Pelodiscus sinensis: one gene and its partners. The protein of the gene in region 1 interacts with the protein of each later gene in a biochemical or structural test. Links are inferred from orthologs where the notes say so. Each region holds a gene or a part of one and is shown on either strand. Other genes may lie near its edges.

The links.
Region 2: the proteins of ZBTB16 (region 1) and HDAC4 form a complex in vitro, tested with the Homo sapiens proteins (2 studies listed by BioGRID). The link is inferred for Pelodiscus sinensis from reciprocal best matches to the Homo sapiens genes ZBTB16 and HDAC4.
Region 3: the proteins of ZBTB16 (region 1) and HBEGF form a complex in vitro, tested with the Homo sapiens proteins (2 studies listed by BioGRID). The link is inferred for Pelodiscus sinensis from reciprocal best matches to the Homo sapiens genes ZBTB16 and HBEGF.
Region 4: the proteins of ZBTB16 (region 1) and HDAC5 form a complex in vitro, tested with the Homo sapiens proteins (2 studies listed by BioGRID). The link is inferred for Pelodiscus sinensis from reciprocal best matches to the Homo sapiens genes ZBTB16 and HDAC5.

Annotation. Positions count from the first base shown.
Region 1 is NC_134736.1:3,729,182-3,736,390, reverse strand, and holds the start of ZBTB16 (zinc finger and BTB domain-containing protein 16), read right to left. Parts: upstream 3,010-7,209; 5' UTR 2,816-3,009; intron 1,328-2,815; exon of another isoform or gene 1,187-1,327; intron 1,124-1,186; exon of another isoform or gene 1,099-1,123; intron 995-1,098; exon of another isoform or gene 972-994; intron 666-971; exon of another isoform or gene 524-665; intron 490-523; exon of another isoform or gene 371-489; intron 185-370; exon of another isoform or gene 126-184; intron 103-125; exon of another isoform or gene 1-102. UniProt on the Homo sapiens protein: Acts as a transcriptional repressor. Transcriptional repression may be mediated through recruitment of histone deacetylases to target promoters. May play a role in myeloid maturation and in the development and/or maintenance of other differentiated tissues.
Region 2 is NC_134717.1:63,920,781-63,927,658, reverse strand, and holds the start of HDAC4 (histone deacetylase 4), read right to left. Parts: upstream 3,004-6,878; 5' UTR 2,855-3,003; intron 2,847-2,854; exon of another isoform or gene 2,625-2,846; intron 2,433-2,624; exon of another isoform or gene 2,281-2,432; intron 1-2,280. UniProt on the Homo sapiens protein: Responsible for the deacetylation of lysine residues on the N-terminal part of the core histones (H2A, H2B, H3 and H4).
Region 3 is NC_134727.1:2,131,924-2,139,871, reverse strand, and holds the start of HBEGF (proheparin-binding EGF-like growth factor), read right to left. Parts: upstream 3,006-7,948; 5' UTR 2,878-3,005; coding exon 2,835-2,877; intron 2,574-2,834; coding exon 2,394-2,573; intron 1-2,393. UniProt on the Homo sapiens protein: Growth factor that mediates its effects via EGFR, ERBB2 and ERBB4. Required for normal cardiac valve formation and normal heart function. Promotes smooth muscle cell proliferation. May be involved in macrophage-mediated cellular proliferation.
Region 4 is NW_027466028.1:523,638-531,607, forward strand, and holds the start of HDAC5 (histone deacetylase 5), read right to left. Parts: upstream 3,015-7,970; 5' UTR 2,987-3,014; coding exon 2,809-2,986; intron 1,262-2,808; exon of another isoform or gene 1,102-1,261; intron 1-1,101. UniProt on the Homo sapiens protein: Responsible for the deacetylation of lysine residues on the N-terminal part of the core histones (H2A, H2B, H3 and H4).

The DNA of each region.
Region 1 (7,209 bases):
GGGGAAGGGAGCGGAGGGGCCCTGGCGGACACTTTCCCCGCACGAGCCCCCCACATGGACCGGCGCTGCAAAACTAAAGCCATCAACCAAAATCAGGGCGCTCCCCCGACCCCCGGCTCACCCACCCCGGCCCCGAAAGGAGCCTCCTCTCTCGGAACGCATCGGGGCGGCCGAACCGCTCCCCCCTCCCCCCGCAAGCAGCAAATAAATAACGGGGGGGGGGGGGTTACATGTTTCTCTCCGCCGGAACATCACAACAACCGCTGCGCTTCCTCCTGCCAGCGCCCCCCCGACCCACAGCCCCCCCCCCGCCCATTGCAACCCCCCCCCGCCCATTGCAACCCCCCCCCCCGTGTCCCCTCGCCCCCACCTTCCCCCGAGGGAGAACCGGCCAGGCGCAGCGCTGACAGGCGAGCCCGCGTATCTCCGCGCATCGCTCCTGCCCGGGCATCCGAGCGAGCAGCCCCCCGACACCCCCGCCCCGCGGAGCAAGTTGCTGCAAGCCGCCCCCCTCGGCACTCACGGGCTAGTGCATGGCAGGCGCCTCCCCGCCGCCGTGCGGGACCGGGGCTGGCTAGGGCAGCCGCGGCGGCATGTGGCAGTTCGCAGTGCCCGCTCTCATCCTGCCCCGCTGCTCTCTGCTCGCAGGTTAGCAAATCAACACCGCGCGGACTGACGCGCCGGCTGGCGCCCCGCGTCAGGGCCGCTCCCACCCCGGCGAAGCCCGGGCCGGGCACCATCTTTACTGCTGGCACGGGGCTGGTGCCCACACCGCTCTCCCGCACCCGGCTCCCGCCCCGAGCCTCCCGCCAGGCTCTGCCCCCCACCCCCTCCCTCCGCGGCGCGCCCTGGCTGCCGGGGGGTCTCCGCTTCCCAGGCGCGGGGAGCCGCCCGCCTGACCCGGGGAGATGCTGGAGCGGAAAACTTCCCACGCCTCCCGGGCCAGGAGGTTCTCCAAGGGGGGCACCCACCCTGGGAGCGCAGCGGGACTCGGGACGCTCCAGGGACCCCGCTGGCGCCTCTGGAGCTGGAGTGGGAACGGGAGCGAGTCCCGGCCCTTCCACACTGCGCTGGGGGGGGGTACTAACAGGTTCACACCTGGCAGCAGGGGAGGGAAGAGTTACCCCCCCCCCCCCCACGCCGGACCCCTCAGGGCGCCAGCTCGGGAGAAGCGATTTTCGGGCACCTCGAGCATCCTCCGGACTGAGTCCCTGCCTCGCGCCAGGCAGCTGTGTCGAGGTCCCGGTCTGGCGCCGCCCGTTCCCACGCGGCTGGCGGGGGCAGGAGGCTCGGGGCCCCAGCGCTATCGCTGCACGGCGGGACGGGTAGGCTGGGCTGGGGCTCGCGCAAGGCGCAGGACACCGGGCTCCGAGCGTAAAGACGCGCAAAGCTCCGGCCCGCGGCAGGACCCGGCCAGAGCTCCGAGCCATCCGAATTAGACTCCGGATTGGGAGGGAGACGGGTGGGAACGAGCTTCGCCGAGCATCCCTCCTTCGCCAGCCCATGAGCCCGCCCGGCCTTGGCCCGGCCTCCACAAGGCAGCGGCGCTAGGACACGCTCCAAGCGTCGCTCAGCTCGTCCTGCCCAGGGCGGGGGAGCTGCAAACGGGCCGAGGCCCCGATCCTGCTGAGTCGGGGCCGCTCCCGGGGGCAGAAGCAGCCGCGCTGAGGGGGGGGGGGGGGAAGCTGCGGGTACTAAGTAGCCAGGGGGCACCCCGCGTAGCCAGGGGCGAGCCGCTCTGCAGGAGCGCGGGGGGAGGGGTGCAGCAAGAGGAAAGCGGGGGTCTGTTGTAGCCCCGTCGCTTCCCGGGTTGCTCCGCCAAGCCCCGGGCAGAGGCGAGCAGCCCCCAGGAGTTGGGGGCGGGGGGAGAGGGGAAAAACCCTTGGTCCCGCTCCTGCCCCAGCCCAAGGGAAGTCACCGAAAAGTTGCATGGAGGGGAGGGGGGGAGCGCGGGGTTGGCCCGGCGGCCGGCTTTGGGGACCGGCCGCAGGGGCTGGGGAGGGAGGGGGCGCGGATCCCGCGGGCTGCTGGACAGCGCTTGGCTCCGCTGGCCTCTGCCAACAACAAACATGGAGGAGCAGGAGGCTGCCTTGGGGAATCAATGAACCGGAGCCAATGCCTGCGACCCGGCTCGGAGCGGCCCCGCGGGGATCGGAGCGCGCCGGGCCAGCACCTGCTGCACCCTGCGCGCCAGCCGGCCTGGGCCGGGGGGACGGGGCGGGCGAGGGGCGCTAGGGGAGCAGCGCGCAGACCGTGTCCCCAGCGGGTCTGGGTGGTGGGGCTCGGGAGGGGTCGTTCGCCCCCAGCCCAGCCCCTCCGCCGGCTGCGTCCCGGCACCTGCCTGAGAGCCAGCCCCCGCCTCCCCGCGATCGCCTTCGCCTCCCCCTCGCCTCTGCCCCGCAGGGGATCCACGCACCCGGCTGGGCCCCTGACCGCCCCGCGGCTCGTTCAGGGCGGGAGCCAAGGGGCTCAGCCACCCACCCGCCCGCGGAGCCGGGTTCCAATTCGCCCCCGGCCAACGCGGCACCCGCTTCGGAGCTCAGGCTCCCAGTCCTTCCCCCCGGTGCACACACGCTCCGCTTTCAGGAACGCACCCCAGCGCCGGGGCTGCAGCAGCGAGGGGGGTAAGACCCCCGCGTGCTCATCATGAAATCCGTACATCGGAAAAGAACCCCGCCTAACCAGCGTGCGGGTGTCGCTGGCTGAGCCACGCTACACAAGAGACGTTTTCAACTTGTTGAACTTCTAATGTGACAACTGCGTCGAGGCGAGCGATAAGGCGGCGGTGCGGACGTCTGCTGCCAGCCTCGCTCACCATGGCTTTAACTCGCGGCAGGCTCGCCCTAGGAAGCATCCGATCTTCCCCAGCGGAGAAATACACAATTAACCCCCGATCCTAATCTTCAATTAGGCCTCAGGCCGGAGAAAGCCACTTGAAACAAGACAAAGCCAGACGAGCCCCCAGATTCCTGGTACAAAAAAAAAAAAATCTCCCTTGCTTAATAAACTCAGCGCTTTGAACGCCCAGCCTCTTGCTAGCAAGTGTTGCAGGGAGAAGGGTGCCTGAGTTTGAGAGATGGAGAAAGTAACAAAGACAAGCCATGGGCATGGTGCCAAATTTTGGCTGGAAAGTGCCAAATATTAGGTACCCGCCAGTTTGATATGGGCTGTTTTGCCCAGATAAAGACACTATTCCAAACAAGCACCGTGTATAGAAAGGGCAGGAACTGATGACGTGAGTTGCAACTTACAACTCAGGAAAGTTGTAAATTGTAAACGCTAGTAACTTGAACAATTCAATTCACTCTTTTTTCCTCTTTTTTTTCTCCCTTCCCCCTTATTTATTCTTGGATCTGGACTTCTAATACTCCAGTCACCTGAAGAAGTGTGTTGTACCCACAAAACCTCATGATACCATCTACCCATTTTGTTAGTTGCCAAGGTGCTGCTAGACTATTCATTGTTTTTTAAGTTTTTCCAGTTAGGGACTAATTCAGCTATCCCTCAGAAGCTTATAATAAAATGGTTCTTCTTTAAGCTGCCACAGGACTCCTTGTTGTATAAGAATGGCAGTGAAACTCCAGGGACAAAGATTTGCTGCAAAAAAAAATCTTTTTTTTTAATAGAAAGAGAGAAATGAACAGCATAATATCATTATCTCACAGACACTAACCGTCTCCCCTTGCCCCCGCCCCTCTGTTCTAAAATCTGATTTGTCAATTTTATATGTGTTCACTTTTTTTTATTGTATCACTTTGGTATATATGGTCGTGCCAATTTTCTTCCACAAATTGATCTGAGGAAGTGGGTCTGGCCCACGAAAGCTCATCATCTAATAAACCATCTTGTTAGTCATTAAAGTGCTACATTGTCCTGTCTTTTGTTTCAACCAAACTTCTTGTTCATAATGCTACTCTTTGGAATGGAGATATAGGAATAGTGCAATTCATAAACTCCAGAATAGTAGGGTGCCAAAGTTCAACACATTTTAAAAGCCAGGCCTCCTTATATAAAAGGGGAGAGTGCCTGAAATAAATGAGACAAGATTCGTTTCCAGGGGACATCAAAATATTGCTCAGTAATGGGAATGCTTCCTTCTCCCTTTGCATGGTACAAGTAGTGTGGGACCCAATATTGTCTGCTAAAATAGCAAGTAAGAATAGTATTAGTACAAAGATACCCTGAGGGATAAAGCAGTGTGAATGTAATCTAAAGAGAATGTTATAGGAAGTGTGTTTATAATTATAATGGGATTTAATGTACTTTGGGACCAGATGATAGCAGTCATTTAACAAGAACAGCCTAATAACAGAGGCCCTATAATGAAAGAGACAGCACTGAGGGTTATTACATAAGCATTACAGTGTGGCATTCTCAGTAGCATAGTTAAAGATAAGGCATCAACTAAACCCCATATTTCAGGGGTTATAACTCTGCCATTTTACCTGGCAGCAAAATGAAATTTCACTTGCTGGCTGCCAGTCTGCATGCATATGACCCCCTCTCCCTTTTAAATTCCTTAAATCTGCACAGCCATTGCGTCTTTTGTTTTGCTTTGTAAAGTAGAAAAAAATCCATGGTGGAGGGAGAGGAGCAGTTGCAGGTGTCTGTTTATCCTGCTCTAACTTTTAAGAGGCTTGATTTCAGAACTGAAATTTCGCAGACAGCTAGGGGTACATTTCTAGTGTAGCTTGCATGAAATTAAGCCGCATGAGTCCCATTAGCAATAATAGATCTCCCAGGGCTACATTCCCAGGCAGCATGCTGAAAATTACCCCCCTCCCTCCCCAGTCCTTCCTGGGAACTGGTGCATTTCACTTTTCTTTTTTAAAAAATAATGTAAAAGCTATTGAGTTGTTTAAAAGACTTAATTCCTATCACTGTTTTTCAAAGGATACTGGATTGATGACCCTACAAATGACGTTCTCATTCATCTGCAGACTAGGTATAGCTCAGACCACAGTGCACTTAAATACTCCCCCAGTGTCAAGCTGTGCCTTAATAGTTCTATTACATTGGTTCTCCAGTCAGGACCAAGTCCTGATTGTCCAGTCAGGACCAAGCCCTCATGCTAGTAGATGTTGTACAAATACACATTTAAACATGGTCGTTGTTCCATAGCTCTGACCGTGCAAACACATATGCACATGCATACGCTTTACTCGCCTGACTAGTTCCCCTTGACTAGTAACTGCAAAGGGACTAGTTATTTAACTTCATGAATGCGCATTCTTATTTTCATCATCTGTACTGCAGTAGAGTCTAAGGTCCTTTGGTACTAGATGCCATACGAACACAGAAGATAGTACCTGGCCAAGAACATACAATCTAATAAGTAACTGTTAGATCTTTCCCTTGGGAATTAGCTTGCACATTCCCTGGGAGGGGACTTTTCAGTGGGGGGTGAAAAGAAAGTTCTGATTCGGTCCCAAGTTTCTTTGCTGAAGCTGTCAATAAAGGCAACAAATTGGTGAATGATGTCAATGGTGAGAGCAACTTTTCTGTGGGCACCTGGTTCAAACCCTTTTCCACATGGACTCCTGAACAGTCTGACAGTCTAACATCACCTTGCATGCCATGCACTTCTTTCCGTGGTTATATCATGCATGGAGGCTCTTCAAGGCACTTTCTTTGCCTACAGACGTTTCGTCTCCATGTTGCCTGCAAAAGACATCACCAGATAGAGTGGGACAGAAAACTGGAGTGAAATTTGTTTTCTCTTCCCCCATCAGAATGCATTGAAATAGAAGCATTCTGCTGAGACTGTTTGGTTCTGACAAAGTGGAACATAGGGGCCTGTTTTTATGCCTGAATGCTGAGGAGCCATGTGGATGAACTGCCTTCGAGCTGTGTATCCCATGGCTGGGCATCCAGGGTCCATGGCACCAACCCCTTCCAGAGAATCTCCATTTTTGCTTTCATTCCAAATTGGAACAAAGTCTAGTTGCCAAATGTCACCCCCCAGCCCGCCCACCCTTCCCAAACTAGAACCATCTTTCACAGCTTGGGTTAGGAAATATCTAGCTGGCAAACTCTTTGGTGGCATTGATTGTCTCTCACCATTTCTGTCTCAGCACTAGCAGACCTCCAGACCGCCCTGGGATATAGACAATATGTCAGGTCTGTGCATTACAGTCTCTTGCGGGCTCCATTCAGCTGAAATTCGATTTACACGGTCACCACATCTGAAGACGTCTTTGGAATTAGCCAACTCGGTAACAGAGTCTGATCCTGATCCAAACCGTGCACTCCCTCACATCTGCATCTGTCAGCTCTACCTCTCTCTCCCCGTCTACCCACAACCCTTTTCCTGTCCACCCCCGACACACACTCAGTGCTGTGAGCCATCACAGTAAAGGTTGCTGTGTTCACTACCCATATTTTGGCCTCCTGGTGTATGCAAATAGTGTAAAGAAACCACTTATTGCTTGAAGCCATGGACCATACTAAAAATTTAAACCAATATTTATCAATACGTTAGCTTTGTTCTAACAGCCTGGTCAATAACATCTGTCGCTTGACAAGAACAAGAACAACAGAGTTCTCCTCAGAAAACAGTCCGTCTGCCTTCAGAATGTACATCCTCCTCCACACACATAGACTGAGTTCCAGAGCTGACATACCTTAGAGATCAGTGACCATAAAGGAAGTGAAAAGCAGAGCAATTCTGAAAGGTATGAAATAAGGAAGATGGAAAAAAAGAAAGAAAAAGATTTGCTTTTGACCTTCAAGTCAGCCCCTTGTCCTTCAGCAAGGCCATATATACAGTATGCAGAGAAAATGTTAGAATAGCAGATTCAACCACCAGTAACCCTCCTCTTGCCTCCCTCTCACCCCCCAGGTTCTTGTTTTAATTAAGATAAAGGTTTATTTTCTCCTCCAAATCAAGTCAAATACAAGACTTGGAAGTTCTGACCCCCATAAGCAAAAGAAGCTTCAGGAGGTAGCCAAGTTAGTCTGTATGGCTACGTCTAGACTGGCATGATTTTCCGGAAATGCTTTTAACGGAAAAGTTTTCCGTTAAAAGCATTTTCAGAAAAGAGCGTCTAGATTGGCACGGATGCTTTTCCGCAAAAGCACTTTTTGCAGAAATGCATCCGTGCCAATCTAGACGTGCTTTTCCGCAAAAAAGCCCCGATCGCCATTTTCGCGATCAGGGCTTTTTTGTGGAAAACAAATCTCAGCTGTCTACACTGGCCCTTTTGCCCG
Region 2 (6,878 bases), on another chromosome or scaffold:
ATTTTTTTTAAACTATGACATGACAATTGTTGCACAAACCAACATTTTATACAGTAAAACTCCATTTTAAACACACAGCAAATCAGAAGGAAAAGGGAACAAGGCACAGTGTATGGGCCAGAATGTTACCTGTAAGTTTCCTTTGATACAGTCATTTTGTGTTGTATGTTAACAGTATAGAAACAGCCTTGAAGTCATCATGAAAATTTGTTACACAAAACTATCTACGCTTACCAAACAAAATAATTCTGTCTTATGGTTTGCCAATTGATAAGTGTCTATTTGGCTCACGTATGTGGACAAGCATAATTTTGTAATGCTAATTTACTAATATCTCAAACAAGATAATACAACATAAGATATAAAAACTATCATAAGCATGAAATGCATAAGATTCTTTTACAAGTCCACACTTTAACCACGATGAATTTTGGTTACCATAAAAAAAAAATCAAAAGAGCTCCTTTTAATGGGTGTTGCATTCGATAGACTCACTTTTTAGCGAAGCATGTACACTGTGGGCCATCATCATGTTAGCACAGGCACATGTGCAGAAGGTGCCAGAAAAGATTCTGAGAAGTTTTATAAGAACACAGGCCACCACAACTCAGTTGTGTGCCATCTCCCTATTATAACTACGCAGTCAAAGCAGTAATTAATTACAGTTTAAAGAGCTGTCTTCGCTTCTTTATCCAGCAATCGCTTTTATATTTTAGTTCTGGGTTATGAATAACTGAACCATCCAAAGTCCTATCTTATCCAATGGAATACAGCCGGTCCCCAAGTTGCAAATGGTCGACTTACGACTGTTCGCAGTTACGACCAAAACTGTCGTAAATGGCAGACCCTGAGTTAGGAACGCAATCCGCGCTTACGAACAGCGCAGTCACATGTAACTCAATGGGGTCCGACTTACGAACAAACCGAGTTACGACCCACTTGCTTGGTCAGTAACTGGTTCGTAAGTCAGAAAGAGGATATATTTGCATATTTTCTAAACGTAATAGGTATTATCCTACCTATCTATTTTATTATATAATACACACACACACACACACACCCACACCCACCCACCCCCAAAATATATATCTCCCTCCCTCCCTCACTGGGGGGGGGGGGTAAAACTAAAGGACAAATTTGACTTTTGTTTTAAATTGGCTTAAAATGAAGAATTCTAAACAGCTTCATCAATTCACAAGTGAGCTCAACCTTTCTTATGCCAGAACCCCCCGCCCACACCCTTGCCACTCCAGAGAGCACGTCTTCTCTAGTAAATGGCTGAAAGGGACAGACTGTTGCACTGGCTAGGGAGGGAGCTCTCTAGGCAGGGCAGTAGGAGGGACATGAGTACACCCACACCCTCACTACTTCCATCTGCAAGGATCCCCCTGCCGCAGGAACACTCTCCCCCCCACAGACACCCCCAGTGCCCGTGACAGCCTACCAATTCCCCCACACACATACACCAGTGACTGCTGAACAGAGACAGGCACTCAGCCCTCCAAACCCCTGCACACAAACACAGCAACGGGTGGGCCGCACAGACAGCAAGTATCGGACAGACTGACCCACACAGCTTCCCCCGTACACAACAGAGCCAAAGCCTGACAGACAAATGCTACCCAACATGTACAAGTGACTGTGGACAAACACACAATTCCATCCCCCCCAATCGCACACACACATACATCCCATGTGTGGCTGTCCGATAAACATACAGTCCCCTCCGCACACACGCCACAGACAACCCGCCCCCACACACACACCCCCATGTGCCAGCCTGACACACAAAAAACCCCACCCACACATGCATATGCATGCACACACACAGCCTGGGTGCCTGACACCCTCCTCCCCCCCACACACAGCGCCCCAGTGCCAGACCCTCCCCCCCACACACAGCGCCCCGGTGCCAGACCCTCCCCCACACAGACAAACCCAGGGTGTCGGACTGCCCCTCCCACACACACACACTAGGTGCCGGACTGCCCCCCTCTCTCCCCACACACACCCCAGATGCTGCCCCCCCCACACACACACACAAACACAGACCAGGTACTGGCCCCCCACACACACCCCTTATGTCGGCCCCACACACACACGTGGACATGGACACCCCCCCCCTCCGCGTTCCAGCCCCCACACACACCCCGTGTGCCCCCCCCACACATCCCTTGTGTTGGCCCCACACACACCCACCCCCCGGACGCGCAGCCCCCGGACCGACCGGCGGCCCCGCCCCGCGACACGCGCTGGCGCGGCCGCTCCCCGCGCACTCACCGGCCGCAGCGCCCCACCGAGCCCCGCGCGCAGCGAGGCGGCACCGCGGCTCCAGAGAGGGCGGAGCCGCCGGGAGCCGGCGAGGGCGGGACACACCACAGCCCCGGCCCCGCCCGCCCCATTCACAAAAACCCCCGGCCCCGCCGCGCCCCGCGCTGACTGGCCGCGCCGGGGGTCAGTCACCTCGCCACCCGCCCCCGGCACCCCTTCGTCCGCCCTTATTGGCGAGCACTCGCGGGCCCGCCCTCCCCGCGCTGCCGCCCAATCGCAGCAGAGCGTGACCCTTCAAGCGGCTCAAATGCACCCGCCACTGCGGAAAGTACGCCCCCCATTGGTGCTCCGACCTGCCCATCAAACCCTGGTCCGGAACCCTCCGCGGTTCTTCGCTCCGGCCAGGGAGAAAAATAGCCGTGCGCGGCCCATCCCTTTAAGGGTCCGGCGGCCGCGAGCCGCCTCCGCAGAGCGAAAAAGCAGGCGGACAAAAATACCCGCAGCCTTAAAGGGGCCGCGCCGCGCCTGCCGCCTCCCCACGGGCGCGGCCCCCGGCGGAGCGGCGCGCGGAGCCGGTACTGACCTGTGCGGCGGCGGCGGGCGCCCGGGGCGGTGGCGGCGGCGAGCCACGGGGAGGGCCCGGCGCGGGGCGGACACAGCGGCGCGCGCGCCACCAACGGACTCAGCCCGTGATGGGATCCGCCATTTTGGAATTTTTAGATGGAAAGTCACGTGGTGCGACCATGTTTTCCCTGCACCAATCAGGAAGCGGCGGCTATTTATAGCACCTTCCCCCCCCCCCCCGCTTCCCCCTCCCATGAGGCACGAGGGGGGATGGGCCGCGGAGCCGGGCGGCGCGCGCGATGCGGGGGCGGGGCCGTAGAGAAACCGCCTTGTCCCCCCCGGCTCCCCACATCGCCCCCCCTCCCAAAACCCCTCCCGACATCAGCCCCTCCCAACCCCCTCCCCACATCGCCCCCTCCCGAAACCCCTCCCCACATCAGCCCCCCAACCCCCTCCCCACATCGCCCCCTCCCAAAACCCCTCCCCACATCAGCCCCCCAACCCCCTCCCCACATCGCCCCCCTCCCAAAACCCCTCCCCACATCAGCCCCCCAACCCCCTCCCCACATCGCCCCCCTCCCAAAACCCCTCCCCACATCAGCCCCCCAACCCCCTCCCCACATTGCCCCCTCCCAAAACCCCTCCCCACATCAGCCCCCCAACCTCCTCCCCACATCGCCCCCCTCCCAAAACCCCTCCCGACATTAGCCCCTCCCAACCCCCTCCCAAAACCCCTCCCGACATCAGCCCCCCCAACCTCCTCCCCACATCGCCCCCCTCCCAAAACCCCTCCCGACATTAGCCCCTCCCAACCCCCTCCCAAAACCCCTCCCGACATCAGCCCCCCCAACCTCCTCCCCACATCGCCCCCCCTCCCAAAACCCCTCCCGACATCAGCCCCCCCAACCTCCTCCCCACATCGCCCCCCCTCCCAAAACCCCTCCCGACATTAGCCCCTCCCAACCCCCTCCCAAAACCCCTCCCGACATCAGCCCCCCAACCTCCTCCCCACATCGCCCCCCCTCCCAAAACCCCTCCCGACATCAGCCCCCCCAACCCCCTCCCCACATCAGCGCCCCCATCCCAAGGCCCCTCCCTACATCAGCCCCCCCGCTCCTCCAGCCCTCCCCCCAAATCCCCTCCCCACATCAGCGCCCCCCCTCCCAAGGCCCCTCCCTACATCAGCCCCCCCGCTCCTCCAGCCCTCCCCCCAACCCCCTCCCCACATCAGCGCCCCCATCCCAAGGCCCCTCCCTACATCAGCCCCCCCGCTCCTCCAGCCCTCCCCCCAAATCCCCTCCCCACATCAGCACCCCTGCTCCTCCGGCCCCTCCCCACATCAGCACCCCCCTTCCAAGCCTCCTCCCCACATCAGCCAACCTGCTCCTCCATTCCCCTCCCCACATCAGCCCCCCGCTCCTCCAGCCCCCTCCCTACATCAGCCCCCCTCCGTGTTCCTCCCCACATCAGTTCCCCCCCCCCGTTCCCACATCCCTCTCTGCACATCAGCCCCCGTTCCCCTCCTGCTCCCATCCCCCTCCCCACATCAGCCCCCCCCTTGGCACCCTGCCCCCCCCAGAACTGGATCCTTCTCGCACCAGCTCCTGCTCCCACCTCATCTCCCCACATCACTCCTACTCCCACTGCCCCCCCCCCCGCACCAGCCTCTGTTTTGTCCCTTCCCACAACATGTTCCCCACCATCCCATCCATCCTGCACTAACTCCTGCATGCCCTCCCATCCCTGTGCCACCATTCCTTCCTCTTCCTGGTGCCTCATCCCTCCCACATAGCTCTTGGCACTCCGGAGTCCAAACAGCTGTTTGCCATAGGTCCCACTACCCTGTCCCCTTTAACTAGTGGTTGTCCCAAACCCCACATAGGATGTTGCAGACTATCATGGCCCTTAAGAGTCAGGAAGAGTGGCCCTTTCCCTCGCATGTCTCCTGGATGCGAGTAGCTGGACAACCTCTCACATCTACAGGAGGCTTCCAAAGATGGATGCTGTTCCTCCTCAATCCTCCAAGGAGTGTGTACTAACTAGTCTTTGAACTCCAACAGCTCAAAGATCATGAGTCAAGCCTTCCTTCCCACATCAACAGAATTTGCTTAAAAATCCTGAGATTTTTTTAAATGTTTGGTCATTTTCTGTACCTTCTGATTTCACATTGTCAGAGTTTGCACGGTCATGCGTCTCTGAAAATCACAAGGGCTTGCAACATGCTCCTTAAATGAAAGCTGAGACTGTCACACCACGGGACGCTAGGCATTGAGGTTTTTAAGAAAACCCACTATCACGACTCTTGATAACACTGCAAGAATTGACAGCGCTGTAGAAAAGTCCTTGTTTTTGCCCCAACCCACTGGAGCTCAGGCAGAGCTTGGCAGGAATTTTTGGCAGGATTCGCCACATGAAAGCAAGGAATCCCTAAGACAGCTCCCCCCACACACGCACACATGCACCCCATTCTCTGCCTACCAGACTGGGTGGGGTGGTGGGACTACAGGATTCTGTCCTGCAGGGAGCTGGGGGTGGAAGAGTTTTAGCCCTGTGCCCAGGCATGCACCACCTGGTGGGGCAGATTGAGTATGTCTTGTGGCTCTTGAACTTCAAAAAATTATTGGCTGAAGCTTAGAGGGTAAGTTAAGCCACTCCTGTACTTTCTGTTCAAAGCAGGGGCTGAGCTCCTTTGCCCCTCAGCTTACACAGGAGGTCTTCTGGCAGGCTCTCCCTCATCCAACTCCAGATCCACCTCCACTCACTGGTGGATGGGGGGGAAATGCGTGTGTGTGCAATAAGCACAGCAAGGGCTCGGGATGACGTCAGCGAGGCTGCAGAGGGGGCATGGCTGAGGGAAGGCTGAATGTGATGGAGTGCAGAGAAGGCGCATGTGGAATGTGAGGGGGTGTGGAATGGGGTTGAAGTTTGAGTTAGCTGAGCCTTTATGAAGGTGAATTGGGCAGTGGGGGAGTATAAAGTCAGTGCAAGTGGGGTGGATGTGCACAGGAAGCACCGGCATGTGTGGCACCTGTTTGAGTTGAATTTTCATGCCAGTTTGGCTATTCCTGTCCCTAAACAATGTCATCTGTGTGCCTAGAGCCCTGCCAATGGCAACCTTTAACAACCTCCCCCCCCCCAAAACTCCTCCTCTTCCACATACACATGCCAATTCTGACTCAAAGACCTGGCTTACACTACCATGGGAGATCCATCTAAGTTATGCAGCTTCGGCTACACGAATAAAGTAGCGGAAGTCAATGTACTTAGCTCTACTGACCGCAGTATCGTCACTGCGCCGTGTCAACTGGACGCACTCTGCATAAGGCGGAAGCCCCTTTTTGTTTCCTTTCTAGTTTATATTGGCAGGGGGGGTGGATTGTTTGCTCATTTTCTTTAGTTGGTGAAATTTTGGGTTTGGTTCTGAGCTAGTTCTGGGCCAAGTTGCATCAGTGTGCATTTTACTTTTTTGTGTGTTAATTGCTAAGAGACGGGGACAAGGCTCAGATTCTGAAAGATATGTAGGTGCCTAAATACTTTGGAGGATCTGGACCTAAGTAACTTAGGTGTTACAGTTTATTAATAGCTGGTAGAACAATTCACAGAATAAGATTTGGAGGTGCTTTAAGTTCCTGTATGGGTCTGATTGAGCTGTGATCAATGCAGGACCAAGGTTGATTTACGTCCACTTTAGTGGCTCCATTTTAGGGTTCAGTTGGGAGGTGTTTTGGTCACTAGCATAATTAGAGCAGGCTCACTGCCCTAAAAGGGGTCATTCCAGCATCTGAACATAACTGGAGCCTTGATACACTGCCTGTATCCCATTTCTTCTGGATATTTCCCCTTGTGCTTGGAGCTGAAGGCTGGGACCTAGGCTCTGACTAGCTCTACTTCTGAAGGAATTCCCAACTGGCCAGATTTGCTAGCTTCACGGTCTTTTTGCAGTGCTGGAGTACCACACAAAGGTGACAGCAGAAAAGAGAATTGTACCCTAGAAGATGCCTTATAGTATAGCTATTGTCTTCAAGATTTGATGGATGTATTAT
Region 3 (7,948 bases), on another chromosome or scaffold:
CCAGCTGCCTTCCGCTGGGCATGACGCAGCGGCGAGAGGCACGAGGAAGAGGGGGGTTGAGGGAGGCGTCCAAGGCCAGGGAGGAACAGAGGACGCCCTCCAGCTGTGTGTGTCAACCCATCCCCCCGGGCCACCCTTCCTCAACTAGTGTCACAATCCTCTTGGTTGGCGCCAAGGGCGGCACCGACCAACCCACGTCATTTAGCGAGAGAAAATGCCCAGGGGGGGCCAGGCCATGCGGGGCGCCAGGTGTGCCCTCTGTCAGCGACTGCTCCTGAGGACCCTCCCTTCCCTTCCCCAGTGGGTGCAACCCCCGCCCCCGAGAAGCGCTCTCCTAGAGAGCATAGGGGGTGCGGGGGTCGTATCCAAGCGCCCCTCCTAACGAGACATCTCTGGGGCTGCCTCCGGACGGAGGGCTGGGGGCTGTGAGAGCCGGCGGTGAGAAGAGAATGGGCAGGAAAGGAGAAGTGAGGGGCAAGGCTGGCGATGAGGACAGGCCGGGAGAGGGGATGAGTCTCTCCAGCCCAGCCCCTGTGGTGCAATAGATTAGCCTGGTTTTGCAAAGCTGGGCCCACGTCAGAGCTGGAGAGGAACCATGACAAGGCGGGGAAGGAGGAAAAGTGTCAGGGCGCGGCAGGCAGGCGGCCTGCGTGGGCGCAGTGAGTGACCTCAGTGGGGTCACACTGGGAGCACCAGGTCCGAGCGTGTCTCTGTTCAAAGCCTGCCCCCGACCACGCTGCCGCCCCCTCTGCTGCTGGATTCAAGGGGAGTGGCCACCCAGAGACCCCAGACACGAATGGGCAGAGCCCAGCAGGGCGACGCCGGACCCGAATGCCCCCCGCTCAGTGACTAACCCCCGGCTGATCGGAGGGGTGTGGGCGGCAGGGAGTGACTCCCGGGGTGACCGCTCAGAGGGGTGGCATGCAATGCTCTCAGCTGCATGGAGCCACGCGGAGTCCCAGACCTTCCTGTGGGGACCTGGGGACCATCCTGCCGAGGCGGGAAGCCCACGCCTGGCACAGACTCCCAGGAGGGGTGCGCAGCGCCCATGGGACCCCGGGTTTTCAAGCCATTACACGTTACCAATGGCTGCCCGTGGCCAGGGACTGAGTGCTGGGCCTGGGAAGGGGCCCCAGGGCATAGGGGGCAAAACGGCCTCCGCGGGCCCACCAATCAGTTTCATCCAGCCCACGGAGGCCCTGCCGCTCCCCCACTCCCCCGGCCAATCAGAGCCTAGGGCCCCGGCAGCGCTTTGAGTCCGCCCTGGCGGTCGACAGCCCCACACACCTGAGGGCAGCAAGCGAGAGACTTCGTGCTCCCCCCCTCGCCCCCTGGCCAATCGGAGCCTGGGGGAGCATGCGAAGCCTCCTCCCGCCCTGCTCCCGTCCTAGACGGGGCGCACGCTGCTAAGAAGCGCCACAGGACGGGGGCAGGGCAGGAGGAGACATCGCACACTCCCCCCCCTCCGGTCGATCAGGGCTTGGGGGGACCCCCAGTCTCCTCCCGCCCTGCCAGAGGCTCAGCAGTGGAAGTTGGTCACCAGCTGCGCCTGGGGGGTGACTCTAAGCCCAGTGCCCCCTTGCAGGGTGGGGCAGGGAGCAAGAGACTTCACATGCTCCCCCTTGCTGCCCCCAGGTCAGTCAGGGCCTGGGGAGGGGGAGCCCCTGCAGTCTCCTCCCACCCCAGGGCTGTTCAGAACAGCTGGCGGGGCGGGGGACGCACTGGGGGTGGGCAAGCAGGGCCCTCTGAGGCAGCCCGGCAGGGGGACGGGAGAGGCGGTGCTGGGCTGGGGGGTCACCGGGAATGTAGCGGGGGCCAGGCAGGGGCAGGGGCAGGGCACTCCCGGGGCACAGGACGGCAAAGAGCCAGCGCCCAGGAACTGCTAAAAACAACCGAGCCGCACAAAGCAAGGGAGCAGGAATTTCCGTGGGAACGTGCTGGCCTGGCTCCCTCCCCCGCCAATTCCCACCGGCAGGGCAGTGCCACATTAGGCAAAGCCTCAGCTCGGCCCCCCGGCTACCCTCGGGGCCGCTCCTGCTCGGGCAGAGCCCAGACTTACAAGACTTTCCCCCTGCCCCCGGCCCGGCCCCGCCCCGCCCCGATCTCCCAAGCCAGGCCCCCGTGCGAGCCCCCCCCCCCCCAACTCCACAGCAGCGCGGGGAGCCGGCGGAGTCCCGGGACACGCGGGAAGCGAGGCACCTGCTTGTGAATTCGGCTACGTCCGACTCCCTCCCCGGGGGCCAGCGGGTCCCTCCCCGCGTAGGGAGCCCGGCGCCCAGAGCAAGGTGGGGTCCATGACGCTCAGGCCCCCACCCCCGGATCCGGCCCGGCTGCCCCGCCCGCCCGCAGGGAGGCCACCTGGCTCTGCCCGTCCCGCGCCCGCACACACGCACCTCTCGGGAGCTCCAGGAAATAATCCCCCGACGAGACCCTGCCGCCGTCCGGGGCGCGCTCCTCCTCCAGCCCCTGCCCGCTGCGGAGCTCTGGGGCCACGGACCGGCCGCCGCTCGCCTCGCTGGAGCCCGGACCCCGCAGCACCTCGAGCGCGGCTCCGGGCGCCGCTGCGGAGCGTCCTGCGGAGGGAGAGAAGCGCTGCTGAGCGGACAGCGCCGGGCACCTCGCCCCGGCCCGGGCATTTCTGGTGCGCGCCCCGCCGCCGGCTGCGAACGGCTCCCGCGGGGCCCGGCCCGGCCCGTTACGCAAGCGCAGCCTCCCGCCCGCCGGGACCGTGGGCACCGGCCGGGGACCGGGCTGCGGCGGGGCCAGCGCCCGGCGCGCCCCGGCCCGGTCGGGAACAAACTTTGCGCGCAGCCGCCGCTCGCCCCGCTCCTCACCTGCCGCCAGCAGGACGCCGAGAGCCAGGAGCAGCCGCTGCATGTCGCTGCCCTGCCCGGCGCGGGGCTCGGCCCTGAGATCGCCCCGGGAGCTCGCGTCAGGCGCCAGGCGGCTCTGCTCGGCCCGGGCGCACACGTGTCCGCTCGCCGCAAGAGCGCTCTGGGCCCGGCCCCGGCCCGCGCGGGGGGTAGAGGCTGGAGGGTGGGGCCCGGCTGCTGTCACGCCCACGGCTGGCCGGGCCGGGGCTGGGAGGGGAATTCCCTAGTGAGCTGGCGCTGGGGAGGCAGCGGGTTTCCTGGGGGGGGGACACTCTGCAAGTGTCAAAGACTAATCAGGCCAGGAAAGAAGGCGAAGGGCAAGTAGCGAAAGACGCAACACGGGGGGGCGGGGGGGGGCGGTTAGTCTGTAACTTAACACAATAAAACCCACCCTGGGTCCTAGCACCCTAGAGACTAAACCAATTCCATCAGCAGGGCGCCTGCGCCACAAACAGTGGAGAGGCCCCTGGAGAGCGGGTGCCAAAGGGACTCTCGAGAAACTCAATTCTGTGTTCTTCCCCCCCAGGATGGCAGGAAGGGGATCCCCCGGAGCCTCTCTTGTTTGGTGAGGCATGGGGGAACCGACCCAGTCAATGACAAACCGAACAGCGATCAGTCACCAGGACCAGGTGGTATTTGGAAAGGGCTGAAATACACACTTGATGAAATAGTGGCGCTGGTATCTCGCCTGTGCCTTACGCCAGCCTCTGGACCGGGGACTGGAGGTATCTGGTGTGAGAGGGATTTTTGTTAAAAAGGCACCAGAATCCATCTGACAATTGCAGGCGAGTGAGCCTAACTTCAGGAGCAGGCAAACTGGTTGAAAGGAGAGTAAAGATCAGACTGATCAGGCACATGGGTGAACACACTATTTTGGAGGAAGACTCATCTATTTTTTTTTAAAGGGAAAGCCTGCCTCACCAAGCCATGAGAATTTTTTTAGCAGCCCAACAAATATGTGGCCAAGGATAAGCCAATGGATATAGTGTACTCAGACTGTGGGAGGGTTCCCCCCCAGAGGCTCTTAAGCAAAGGAAGCTGTCTTGGGGTCAGAGGGAAAGTCCTCTCCTGGATCAGTAACTGGTTAAAAGACAGAAAACAAAGGGTAGGGATAAATGGTCAGTTTGCACAATGCAGAGAGGTCTCTAGCGGTGTCCCTCGGTGATCTGTACGGGACTGGTGCTGGCCAGCGTATTCATACACAATTTGGAAAAAAGGGTCAACGGTGAAGCAGCAAAATTTGCAGACAATACAAATGACAGAGGATCGATAGGTCCAAAGCAGGCTGCAAGGAGCTACAAAGGGATCTCACAAAACAGGGTGTCAGGGCAACAAAATGGCTGATGAAATTCAGGATTGCTAAATGGGAAGTAATGGCATTCACCAGGGTGACCGAGCCAGCCAGGGAGAGGAATGCCGCAGCATCGTTTACTTGATCCGATCTGCTCTCCGGAGCAGGCGAACTCCAAAGACACTTTGTGTGGCTGATGGTGCTGATTCTGTAGGTAGCAGCAGCCTTCTTCCCAGTCAGTTCTGAGCCATGCCCCAGTGTGGGGCTCCCAGGTGCTGTTCGGTTACAAGTGTCATCTTATGTATGATGCATATAAAACCTTGGCTTGGGTGATCAAAGAAATTACTGCCCAACTTTGGTATTTAGCTTGGCCCAGCCCCAGCTACCAATCGGATTGGATTTTATACCCTGTTTGCACTCCCTTTCCACCAATACGAATGACTCCACAAGGGGTGGGGATAATAGAGCAGCAGGATCTTGGTGTTTGTTCACTTCCTGATAGGAATTGTTTCTGTTAGTGGTCAGACAGCTGTGGTTCTCTACCCAAGAAGGCACTGCAGTTCACTGGTGGGTAAAGGAGATGAATGCACAAATCAATCCCCAAAAGACTGTCGTGAGGCTTAAACTGTTAGTCCCAGTAAAGCGCTGTGAGATCTTTGCATGAAAAGATGTTAGCAAAGCACAGAATGGTGTTAATGGCGAGTCACAATGTTGTTAATTGTGCAGAGCAGCGAGATGGCTAGCTCTACAGGCGGCTGCTTCGCCCATGCAGCCTGGGGACCACTGTCGGCAGCTCAGTGGGAGCCTCTGTTCGCTGGGCAGCTGCAAGACATTCGATAGCAGAGAGAATGGGATAGAGAACTAGGGAGACTCATGACTTTATGTAAACCAGCGGTGCAGCCTCGTCTAGATACTGGGTGCAGGTCGGATCGTCCCAGCTCAGAAAGATTCTGCAGAATTAGAGGAGGGTCAGAAAATCCCCACAAGTCTGACTCAGGCCTGGAAAAACTCTCCTGTGCGGAGTTTGAAAAGCTAGGGACTGTTACCTTAGAGTGGCACCAACAGGAGAGGTTGTGATAAAAGTTTCTAAAATACCGAATGGTCTAGAAAAGGACGATAAAACCTCGTGCCTCAGGCAATCGCTAACTATGAGACCTAATCGGGGGTCAAATTATTCTACATCTGCCAGGTTCCTGCACCTTCCACTGAGGCCTCTTGCACCAGCCATCGCTAGAGACAGGATCTGGACTAGAAGGACCATGGTCTGATCCACTCCGGCATTTCCCATCTTCCCCTGAGCATGTTGACGTTGGTGTTTTTCTTGCCATTGCAAATGTCATGTTCATAGACTCGGGGCTCGTCCTCATGTCTCCCGAGATCCACACGCCAGAGATCCATCTCCTGGGTTCGATTTTGGGGGTCTCGTAAGAACCCGCTAAATCAACCGCTGACGGTGCACTCGTTAACTCCAGTTCTCCACCAGGCTGCGAGGAGTAAGGGATCTTGATGGGAGAATTTCGCCCATCGTCCTCCTGCAGTGGGGATGCCGCGGAAATTCGACTGTTCTCGGAGCGGAGTTGTGAACCTTAGTTCGACTTTCTCCCGTAGTGTAGACAGGACCCCAGAACGGCAGTCTTCCTGCCACGCTTCCCGAGAAGCACAGTCGGGGGCAGGACAAAGCGGGTTTTACACCACCCCTGCACTGCGGGAGCACAATTAGCCCCAGGGACCGGCTGCAGAATCTCCAAAGCCCTCAATGGGTACCTCCCCTTCAGCCTTCAGACACAGCCCTGCCCCCGGGCCCCATGTTGGCTCTGAGCTGCTCCTGCGGCAGAGAATTCTTCCCCGAGCCCGGGTCGCCCCTGCCTGGGGGTCTCTGCAGTTTGTATGAAGTGCGCAGTGGGCGCTTGGCTCACATGACGTCACCGAGTCAATGGAACAGGACTCCAGCGACTTTTGCCCCTGAGGCCCCACAAACTCCCTGGGCAAGTGGCTCCCACTGGAGAAATAGTGGTGATCCTTCTTGCCCAGGGACCAAACTCCTGTCCCCAGCTCCATGCCTGGATGAAGAGCCCTTCCAGAGGGCTGTCCATATTGACACCCCATGTTCATGGCTCCTTCCATGTCCAGCCCCCTCCCTTTTGGCTGCTTCCACTGTGCCCGACACGTACCCAGGATCACTGTCTGTGGATGACCCCAAATGTGTATGGTCCAGCCATGGGTGCTGGTGCCAGACCCTGCGTTTGGCCTAGATCCCATTCTGGGAGGCTTATCAGTGAACCCTGCAGAGGCTAAGCGCTGGGGAAGCAGAGCTGCTTTGCATTGTCCTGAGTCATTCCCTGACCCCTCGGCTTGTTCCTGGAATTCCCAGGCCCCAAACCTGGGTGTCAGTTTCGGTGCAGAGAGGCCCATTAAGAGTGTGACTACGAAGCCCTACAGTTGCTGTCGTCGTCTCTAAGGAATACAACCGGATTTGGCAACTCCCGTCCACGCCCTGTGTCTTGCCCAGACTTGAGCGTTGTAATGGTTTGTTTGTTGAGTGCTGTTCCTTCCGGTCCCTCCTCGCCACATCAGGGCATACAGACTGGCAGCCAGCGCCTACAACGCAGAAAAGCCTATTTCATCACCGCACTCCCGTTCCAGCAGCTCTGCACTGGCTTGGCCCAAAGGCTCTGCATGTTGATTTCCCATGTTATGTAACTGCGTCTGCGGAGGCTCTTTCCCCAGTGGCTTGCTGCACCGCTCCGGTGAAATCCCAGTGGAGCGTGTGACATCTTTGACCGGTGGGGTTGGGGGCAGGTGTTCGGGCTGCCTGCCCTGGCACAGGACACAGCGTGGGACACAAAGGAGCTGCCCCTTTGATTTGCTGGGCATGGCTCTGCCGCTCTGCTCCCGAGACCCTGGGTCAATCCTGGTCTCTGTGTGCGAACGCTTGCTGCTGCTCCTCACGTGTAGTCCGCACCTGCTTGCGCTGGTCAGAGTCCAAAGCAGCATTGCATGCTGGGGCTCGGAGTCTCCGCGGTTCCGCGCCAGGCTGGGCAAGGACGGAGAGATTGGAAGGGCTGATAATTTGCCAAAACATCTCAAGTGTTCCACCCGCATCCAGGGAGCCCAGCAGCAAACCGGGACTCAAAAAGTCTGCACGGAAATCCCCTCCCCTCTCCCTTAACCCGCCGTCACCTCCCTGGGAATTACTTCCTGTGGGGCACCCCCAAGCTCTCTAACTTCCCTGCACAGAGAGCTTGAAAAACACCCAACCTGTAATTTCTTCATAGTTCACCTTTCGGTCTCAGGCATGTGCACACAGAACCTCCTGCCTTCTAGGACACAGGGATCGGCTCACAGCCTTAAACCGGTGTTTTGTTCATAAAAGCAGTGTATTTCGTAAAGCAGACTTGGTTACTAGGTGTTCCAGAGCCACTGAAAAAAAGCAGATTGAAAACACAGAGGCTACGTCTACACTGGTGGGTTCTTGTGCAAGAACATCTTGTGCAAGGGTTCTTGTGCAAGAAGTCTTGTGCAAGAACACATCCACACTGCCATGTGCGAGATGTGCTTTCGCGCAAGAGCATCCATGGCAGTGTGGATGCTCTCTTGCGCAAGAAAGCTCCGATGGCCATTTTAGCCATAGGGCTTTCTTGCACAAGAAACACCTGCCACGCGGCCACACTGCCCTCTTGCACAAGAGCTGTTGCGCAAGAAGTCTTACACTTGTAAAAAAAGAGCATAGCTCTTGCGCAAGAAGCCCTCTCTTCCCACGTCGTACTGTAAATCTTCTTGCACA
Region 4 (7,970 bases), on another chromosome or scaffold:
ATGAGCACACAGCCCTGCCAGCACCTGGGATTTCCCTGCCTGCCTTGCAACCAGCCACTGTTTTCTGAAAGGAGATGCGTGAACGCAGGAGCCTCTCCGCCTTCATTTACCTTGATAGTTCTCTGCTCCTTGTGGTGGCCAAGAGAAGCTTGAAAAAATGAAGCCCCAAAAGGCAGAAAAACTGGAAGTCAAATAATAAGAACCCAACGTTTAAAAAAAAAGAAAAGTTTGGGAGATTTATTATGCCCATCTGGTGATTTCTGAGCTTTTGGGACTAACAAGCATTTCATTCGGCAGACCCAGAAGGGATTCCTGTGACCCTCTGGGCCAAGACCCCATATCACACAGGCCACAGGACTTCCTTTCATTAATTTCTGTCTAAATTAGAGAAACAAAGCAAGAGTCATGTCCATCTGCATTCTAACCCATTGACTACCTTCTCCTCCCAAGGCAAGGGCTAGAACCCAGGAGTCCTGCCTACCAATCCCCCCCAGCTCAAACCACTCGACCAAAGTCCCTTCTCAATGCTGTGTATGGAACTGTATGTTCATCTTGGCATTAACCCCTTCCTGCCCATGCCCCCATTCAGACTATAAGGTCCTTTGAGCAGGCCTATCTTTTATGGTGAGAGGGTCCAGCTGTCAGCACAATGAGGCTCTGATCCCAACTGAGATCTCTATAACCCTTCTCCTCCTCCAAGGCAGGAGTGACTGAATCTGGAGGCTCACACCTTATCCAAGGTACAGAGCTAGCAAGAAGGGAGCTCAGAGAAGAGAAGCAAAATAACGAAGGGTGCGGCCTCACAGCTGAAAGAGTTAAACAACAGGCAGACAGAAATAGTAATACTCCGCAGACATCCGAAAGGGTGTAAGCACACAGGGAGGGAGGGATTTGTCACTACGCAAGGAGGACAGGAATGCAGGGGGGAAAAAACGAGGATGAATACTAGGAAATATTTCCCGGCAGCCAGCTATGTGAGGGAAGGAGAGGGGAGCCCTGTCATCTATTCCCACATGCCCTGGATGGCACTTGACCAGTCTCTCAACTCTAACCTCTATGATCCCATGGGGGTCACCAGACTGCCTACTGCACCATGCGTACCTGCTCACAGGCCAGGTTCAGCTCTCAGCCACACCTGCATCAATGCACAGCAATGCTGCCAAAGTCAATGGTGTTAGTCCTGATTTACACCAGCGTGGCTGAGAGCAAAGTCTGGCTCCCCACTGGCAGCACAGAGATATGCTGGTCCTGGCATGCTGATCTGAAAGGAACACAGACAACCCATTAGCAAACCTATTTTCCCAGAGGAATGCCTTTCCTATCATGGCCCCATTTTGCAATTTCACCTGCAAGAATAACAAGGCACAGATGGAGAAGGAAAGAAGGGAGAGCAGGTCCGGGAGTAAATCCTACCCCTCCCATCATCCCGCACCGGAGAAACAATCTGGCTCCAAAAGCAAAAGGGAAAAGAGCCCCAAGACCAGCACTTGCTACTGCACCTTATCCCCTAGCAGAGTAGGTCTGGCACCGAGCAAACAAAAATCATCACCCATCAGGGAGCTGGGAGCGCTGCAGTATTTCAGATGGTCCTCCTCCAAAAGATGCAAGTAGGAAGGATCAATTATTTAAGGGCAACTGCCGCTTCTCAGGACCCTTTTCATTCCCCCCGCATGCGCACTCCCTCTGCCTAGGTATTTATAGCACACGGCTAGCGTGCAAGACAAGGCATCAGCAAACCTTTGTCTCCCAGGCAATAACAGACACACATTTTCCTTCTCCCACCACTCCCAGGCCAGCTAGAGATGGGAAAAGAAGCACCAAGCCCTCTAGCAAGAAGGTCAAGAGACAAGATTTTGATTCAAAACAAGGGGCAGGAGGAGGGCATTCATGCATCTGAACAAGCTTTGCATCCTCTTGATCTCCCATGCAGGCATCACGGGGTGCACAAAGTTTAAGCTCCTACAAGGCAGGTTTCCAGACAAAGGGATCTAAGGATGGAGGCAGGCCTCCCTCCCCACTCCCGCCCACTAGCCTGAAGAAGCTGCAACTGCCAGGCACAAGAGGATGCAGAGGAGGTGGAAAAGCATGCATTCCCTTGTGGAGTTCCAGAATGACCCCCTCTTTAAAGGCCCAGAGGAAAAACCAGCCTGTGTTGGTCCTCCCTTACCCCCAGCACCTCTGCCCATCGACAGCCACATGCCACTCTTTGCTTCCAAGAAGTGGCTTTTCCTCAGCCCAGGCTAGTGAGGTGTGATGGGCACACACCCCGTCTCACAGCCCCAGGCGCATCCTCCCAGCCCGACCTACCCCAGACATACACACAGCCCAAACTGGAGCTCAGCCAGTCCTGAGCACCATCTGCACTGGAGGCAGGATCCCCCCACCCCACCATGCGGACAGCGCTGCCGTTTCATAACCAGCGCTCTGTGTCACAGGCACAGCCTCTGCTCCCCTGCCTTGGCCCCCACCCACAACCCGTTCCCCGCAAGAGGAGGAGAGTCTCGGGCAGGTGCATTAGCAAACACCCCCAAGGGTGCCAATGCAGCAGCCAGCCCCAGTAACCCACCCATGTCTCAGCGCTCCCTGCCGGCCAATATCCTGCCCCAGAGCCCGCAGCCGGGCAAGTGACCTGGACCAGGCTGGCTGCCCCGTTCTCTCTGTGGCAGGTGCAATCCCGTTCGAAAGGGGGCTTCGCCCTGCACCCCTGCCCGGGGCCCGGGCCGAGCCGGCTGCCCTTCCCCGGCGCTGGCATGGGGCAGGCGCTGGAGCCGCTCGCCCTGTGTCCCCTGGGGGCGGCCCCCCCCTTACCTGCTACCCAGGCCGGTGGGCGGCTGCAGCGGGGCCCCGCCTGGCTGGGTGCCCTGGCCAGCCCCTCCGCGCCAGGGATCCGGCTGCCCGCGGCTTCACCGCCAGCGCCTCCGCTCCTCCATCTTTGCAGCTGGCTCTGCGCGCAGCCCGCTCCGCGCCCCACCACCAACAACAACATTCGGTGACGTCACTCCCCGTCACGTGACGGAACCCTGGGCTAAAAATAGCCTGCCTGCTCCGCTCCTTCCCCCTCCTTTGCCTGGTCCCCCGAGGGCGGGGCCTCCAAGAAGGAAGGCGCGTCACCCACGCGGCCTTAAAGGGCCAGCGGAAGATGGGGGGGGGGTGCAAGCCCAGCTGGGCCCGGCTAGCGGGACGCCCTTAGGGCCAGCGGAAGATGAGGGTGCAAGCCCAGCTGGGCCCGGCTAGTGGGGCGCCCGTGGGGCCACTGGAAGATTGGGGGGGTGCAAGCCCAGCTGGGCCCGGCTAGCGGGACGCCCTTAGGGCCAGCGGAAGATGGGGGTGCAAGCCCAGCTGGGCCCGGCTAGTGGGGCGCCCTTAGGGCCAGCGGAAGATGAGGGTGCAAGCCCAGCTGGGCCCGGCTAGTGGGGCGCCCGTGGGGCCACTGGAAGATGGGGGGGGTGCAAGCCCAGCTGGGCCCGGCTAGCGGGACGCCCTTAGGGCCAGCGGAAGATGGGGGTGCAAGCCCAGCTGGGCCCGGCTAGCGGGACGCCCTTAGGGCCAGCGGAAGATGGGGGTGCAAGCCCAGCTGGGCCCGGCTAGCGGGACGCCCTTAGGGCCAGCGGAAGATGGGGGTGCAAGCCCAGCTGGGCCCGGCTAGCGGGACGCCCTTAGGGCCAGCGGAAGATGGGGGTGCAAGCCCAGCTGGGCCCGGCTAGCGGGACGCTCTTAGGGCCAGCGGAAGATGGGGGTGCAAGCCCAGCTGGGCCCGGCTAGCGGGACGCCCTTAGGGCCAGCGGAAGATGAGGGTGCAAGCCCAGCTGGGCCCGGCTAGCGGGACGCCCTTAGGGCCAGCGGAAGATGAGGGTGCAAGCCCAGCTGGGCCCGGCTAGCGGGACGCCCTTAGGGCCAGCGGAAGATAGGGGTGCAAGCCCAGCTGGGCCCTGCTAGCGCGGCGCCCGTGGGGCCAGTGGAAGATTGGGGGGGTGCAAGCCCAGCTGGGCCCGGCTAGCGGGACGCCCTTAGGGCCAGCGGAAGATGGGGGTGCAAGCCCAGCTGGGCCCTGCTAGTAGGGCGCCCCTTGGGGACACATTGAAGTTTCACAGCCTAATGCTCCACAGTTAGCAACATGTCTCACAAAGTTCCCCCAGGGCAACCTTTGTGCTGCCTGATCCCCAAACATGCACGCAGCATTCACCACTCAGGCCTGGATGCATTCTTTTATCCCTATTGCTTTTCTGCCTCAGCCCATATGCAATCCCCCCCCAAACCTCACACGGGCACAACACGGTCCGTGTGTGTTTCTATGCACCTCTCGCAGCAGTTAGCCGAGCATGCCACAGATGCTCATGAATGTAGACCCAGTCAGAGGGCCCATAATCCCCATTTTACAGATGGGAAACTGAGGCACAGAGAGACAACAACCAGGCTGCGTCTAGACTGGCATTATTTTGCGCAAATACTTTTAACAGAGTATGTGCAAATTTCATTTTTGTAGAGGCCAAAGCCTGGCACATTTTCACAGAGCTGGTGAAAGGCACAGCCCTGACTCCAGCCTGATCCTCCTGCCAAATTTCACTACAGCTTCTTGAATAGCTGTAAGAGGTCTTTTAACATGAACAAACCCATTTGTTTTCCCCTCATCTTATTCTGGGAAATGTCTGAACTGTTTTAGGTGAAACTTTACAAAAATATTCAGCTTGAGGTCAATAACCTGGCATAGAAAACATTGGTACAGCCCTGCACATATACAAATGTCTACTCACGGATGTGGATATCCATGGATAGACATCGGGATCCACAGATCAGCAGGGTTCTACCCCCAAGAGACACTTTGGCCAATGAAGAGGAGCGTGGTCCCATCACACCAGAGAGACAGTGCCCCATGTCAGCATCTCTGTGATGGGATGCAGTCACAGAAGACTCCTTGGGAGGGTTTCCCAGCGTGCTGACAAGACCACTGCCACTTGCCTTCCTGCCATCTAGCTTCTTACCACTCTGTCCTGCTGGGCCAGCTCCTGGTCTCCCCCAGCCAAGGACCAGAGCTGAGATCACTGCTCCTTCTTCCCCCGAGAAGCAGTACTAACACTAAAACTCTTCTGCTGCATCTAGACTGGCAAGTTTTTTCGCAAAAGCAATGGCTTTTGCACAAACACTTGCCAGCTGTCTACACTGGCCGCTTGATTTTGCGCAAAAGCACTGACGTTCTACTGTCCAAAATCAGTGCTTCTTGCGCAAATGCTTCAGGCAAAAGCCCTTTTCCGGAAATGTTTTTGTGCAAGAGGGCCAGTGTAGACAGCTAAAAACTGTTTTGTGCAAAAAAGCCCCGATGGCGAAAATGGCGATTGGGGCTTTCTTGCGCAAAACCGCATCTAGATTGGCACAGACGCTTTTCCGCAAAAAGTGCTTTTGTGGAAAAGCGTCCATGCCAATCTAGACGCTCTTTTCCGCAAATGCTTTTAACGGAAAAACTTTTCCATTAAAGGCATTTGCGGAAAATCATGCCAGTCTAGACATAGCCTTGAGGTCCAAGGAAATGGAGTTTGGGGCCCAGCTTCCCAGGATACCACTCCCCAAATGGGATCAGAACTCCAAAGGAATTATTTAGGTGAATCCCCTTTAACAATGAAAGGGGGAATGTACACACTGGCTACCCCCAGGCAACAATTATTTAAACTAGGCTTGATAGTAAATAAAAGTGATTTTATTAAGTACAAGCAGTAGGATTTAAGAGGCAATAATTGAGAAAGGGCAGAGCAAAGTAGATTACAAACTTAAAATAACAGAAAACTCTTAGCTAATTCTAACACTAAAACCCCGGTACAAACTCATTACAAACTCACTCTAAAACTGTTCCTTTCCTAGTAAGCCTTCAAACCAGGGCAGCTCCTCACCCTGGGGTCTTTGGGTCCTTGCCTTGGGTGTGGAATGCCAGCCAGCCAAAAACAAAGACCCGCTAGTTTCCTATTGTTTTAAAGATTCCCATTTTTGCATGAGAAGTTACCTGACCAGTCCCTACAGCTATGTCTAGACTGCAGAGTTTATCCTGGAAAAACTCTGCCGCGTCCAGGGAATGTGTTCACATTTTCGGAACAGTTTCTGAAAACGTGGGCATGTTCTGTCAGCATCTCTGTATTCCTCATTTTATGAGGAATAAGGAATGTTCCGAAAGAGGAAGTTTTTCCGACTTTTGGTCCTGTGTAGATGGGCCAAATGTCGGAAAAGCCTCTTCCAAAAAACAAGCGGAAAAAGATACGCAAATTTCAGTTCGCAATTTGCGTATCTTTTTCCAAAAAAACCCAGCAGTGTAGACACAGGCTACTAGTTAGGGAGGTCATGTGACTTCCTAAGACAAACCCCTGCTAAGACTTAAGGACAAAAGGCAACTTACATATGACTGCCCAGACACTGAAGCATCCCAGCATTGGAAACACTCTTGATGGCTTTCCTTTGCACATTTAAAACCATAAAGAATCCCATACTCCATGCATCTAGTTTTACACACAAGAATGATACATACACCAGAATAAGATAAAGAGATCCAGTGGATTATGACATGAAGATTGATAGGTTTGTCATGATCATGAGGGTTAGCCAGCAGCCTGGGAACTAAGGGGTTAACCTTACCTAAGTCAGGTGCATTCAGCCAATAGGAATGCAGGTAGGAATTTCAAACTGGGACAAAGGAATTTTTGGTTTTTCTCTCTTTTTGTTCTGGGAGTTTCTCTACAGCTATTGAAGGGAACAGGATGTCTCCCACTAAGAAAATACTCTTCACGTCTGTAAGTAGGATAAAGTTTAGATAAATCTGTTAGGTTTTATTGTTTTATGGTTTGGGAAATGGGATCTGATGTCTGTGCATTTAAAAATGGGTTTGCTCTCCTTTGTAACTAAGTTCCTGGCCCGTGGTAGATTTCTCCTCCATTAGTATATTATTTTGCTACTTTTCCATCTAGTCATTATGCTTGCAACAGGAATATTGTGGTGATAATAAAAGTTTTTTCTCTTTTATTTTTATTAACCTGGTATGGATTAATTTTTGTGTCCTAGTTTGTACTTTAGGGATGAGATTTCCCAAGTGATCTCTCCCCTGATTTTTGTATCAATACTTGGGTGGTGGCAGCGGAATTTTTATCCCCAAAATCTAGGTTAAGATTTTGGGGGGAAGTTTTATACCAAAGCCTGGTAGATAAGGTTTTGGGGTACTTTTGCTGGCCCCCACTTCTGCATTTATCGTGCCAGAGTGGGGAAGGAGCCATGACAAGGTTACATGAGTTAATTTGTCCGAAGCATCTTTGAGTCATGTATATTGGTGTTCATAAAGCCATTTCATAAAGCACGGGGAAGGGTCCATCACAATCTCCTCCTGGTTGGGTGACTGTACCGTTCCTCCTGGTCACCAGCAGGGCTGTACATCCCCAGACGGGAGACACCGCAGCTGGGGGCAGAACAACTGTGCTGCCAGCATGGTGCATTGGCTCCTGTGCACACCAGGACCTCGCTTCTCTCCATTGGCTGCAGTGTCTCTTTGGAGTAGCTCCCTGCTGATCTGCAGATCCCGAGGTCTATCTACGGATATCTACATCCATGGGTAGACATTAGTATCTGTGCAGGGCTCTAAATCTCGGTCCCACCCGTTAAAATTTGGCACAAGTTATAAGCAACCAGGAACGGGGTTTTAAAATGGAAAATGGTAGGCAACCTTAACTACAGGGCAGCACTTTCAGTCCCCTGGAGGAGGGAGGGAAGGGCCTGACATGTTTGCACATGCGTGTCCGTGTCCTCCACCTCCAGGCCCTGCGGAGGCTCCTATATGATGCAGGTAGTCCAGCATGGAGCATGCTGGCACCTGCTTTCCTTCACCACTTCCGAAGGTTCCGATATGACCAGCAGCTCCTTTATATGAGAGGTCTTTTGCGAAACCTCTCTGAGCTGCCGGCCTTCTACCAGGACCTCCTCTGGACCTGGAAGCTGCTTGCGGTGAC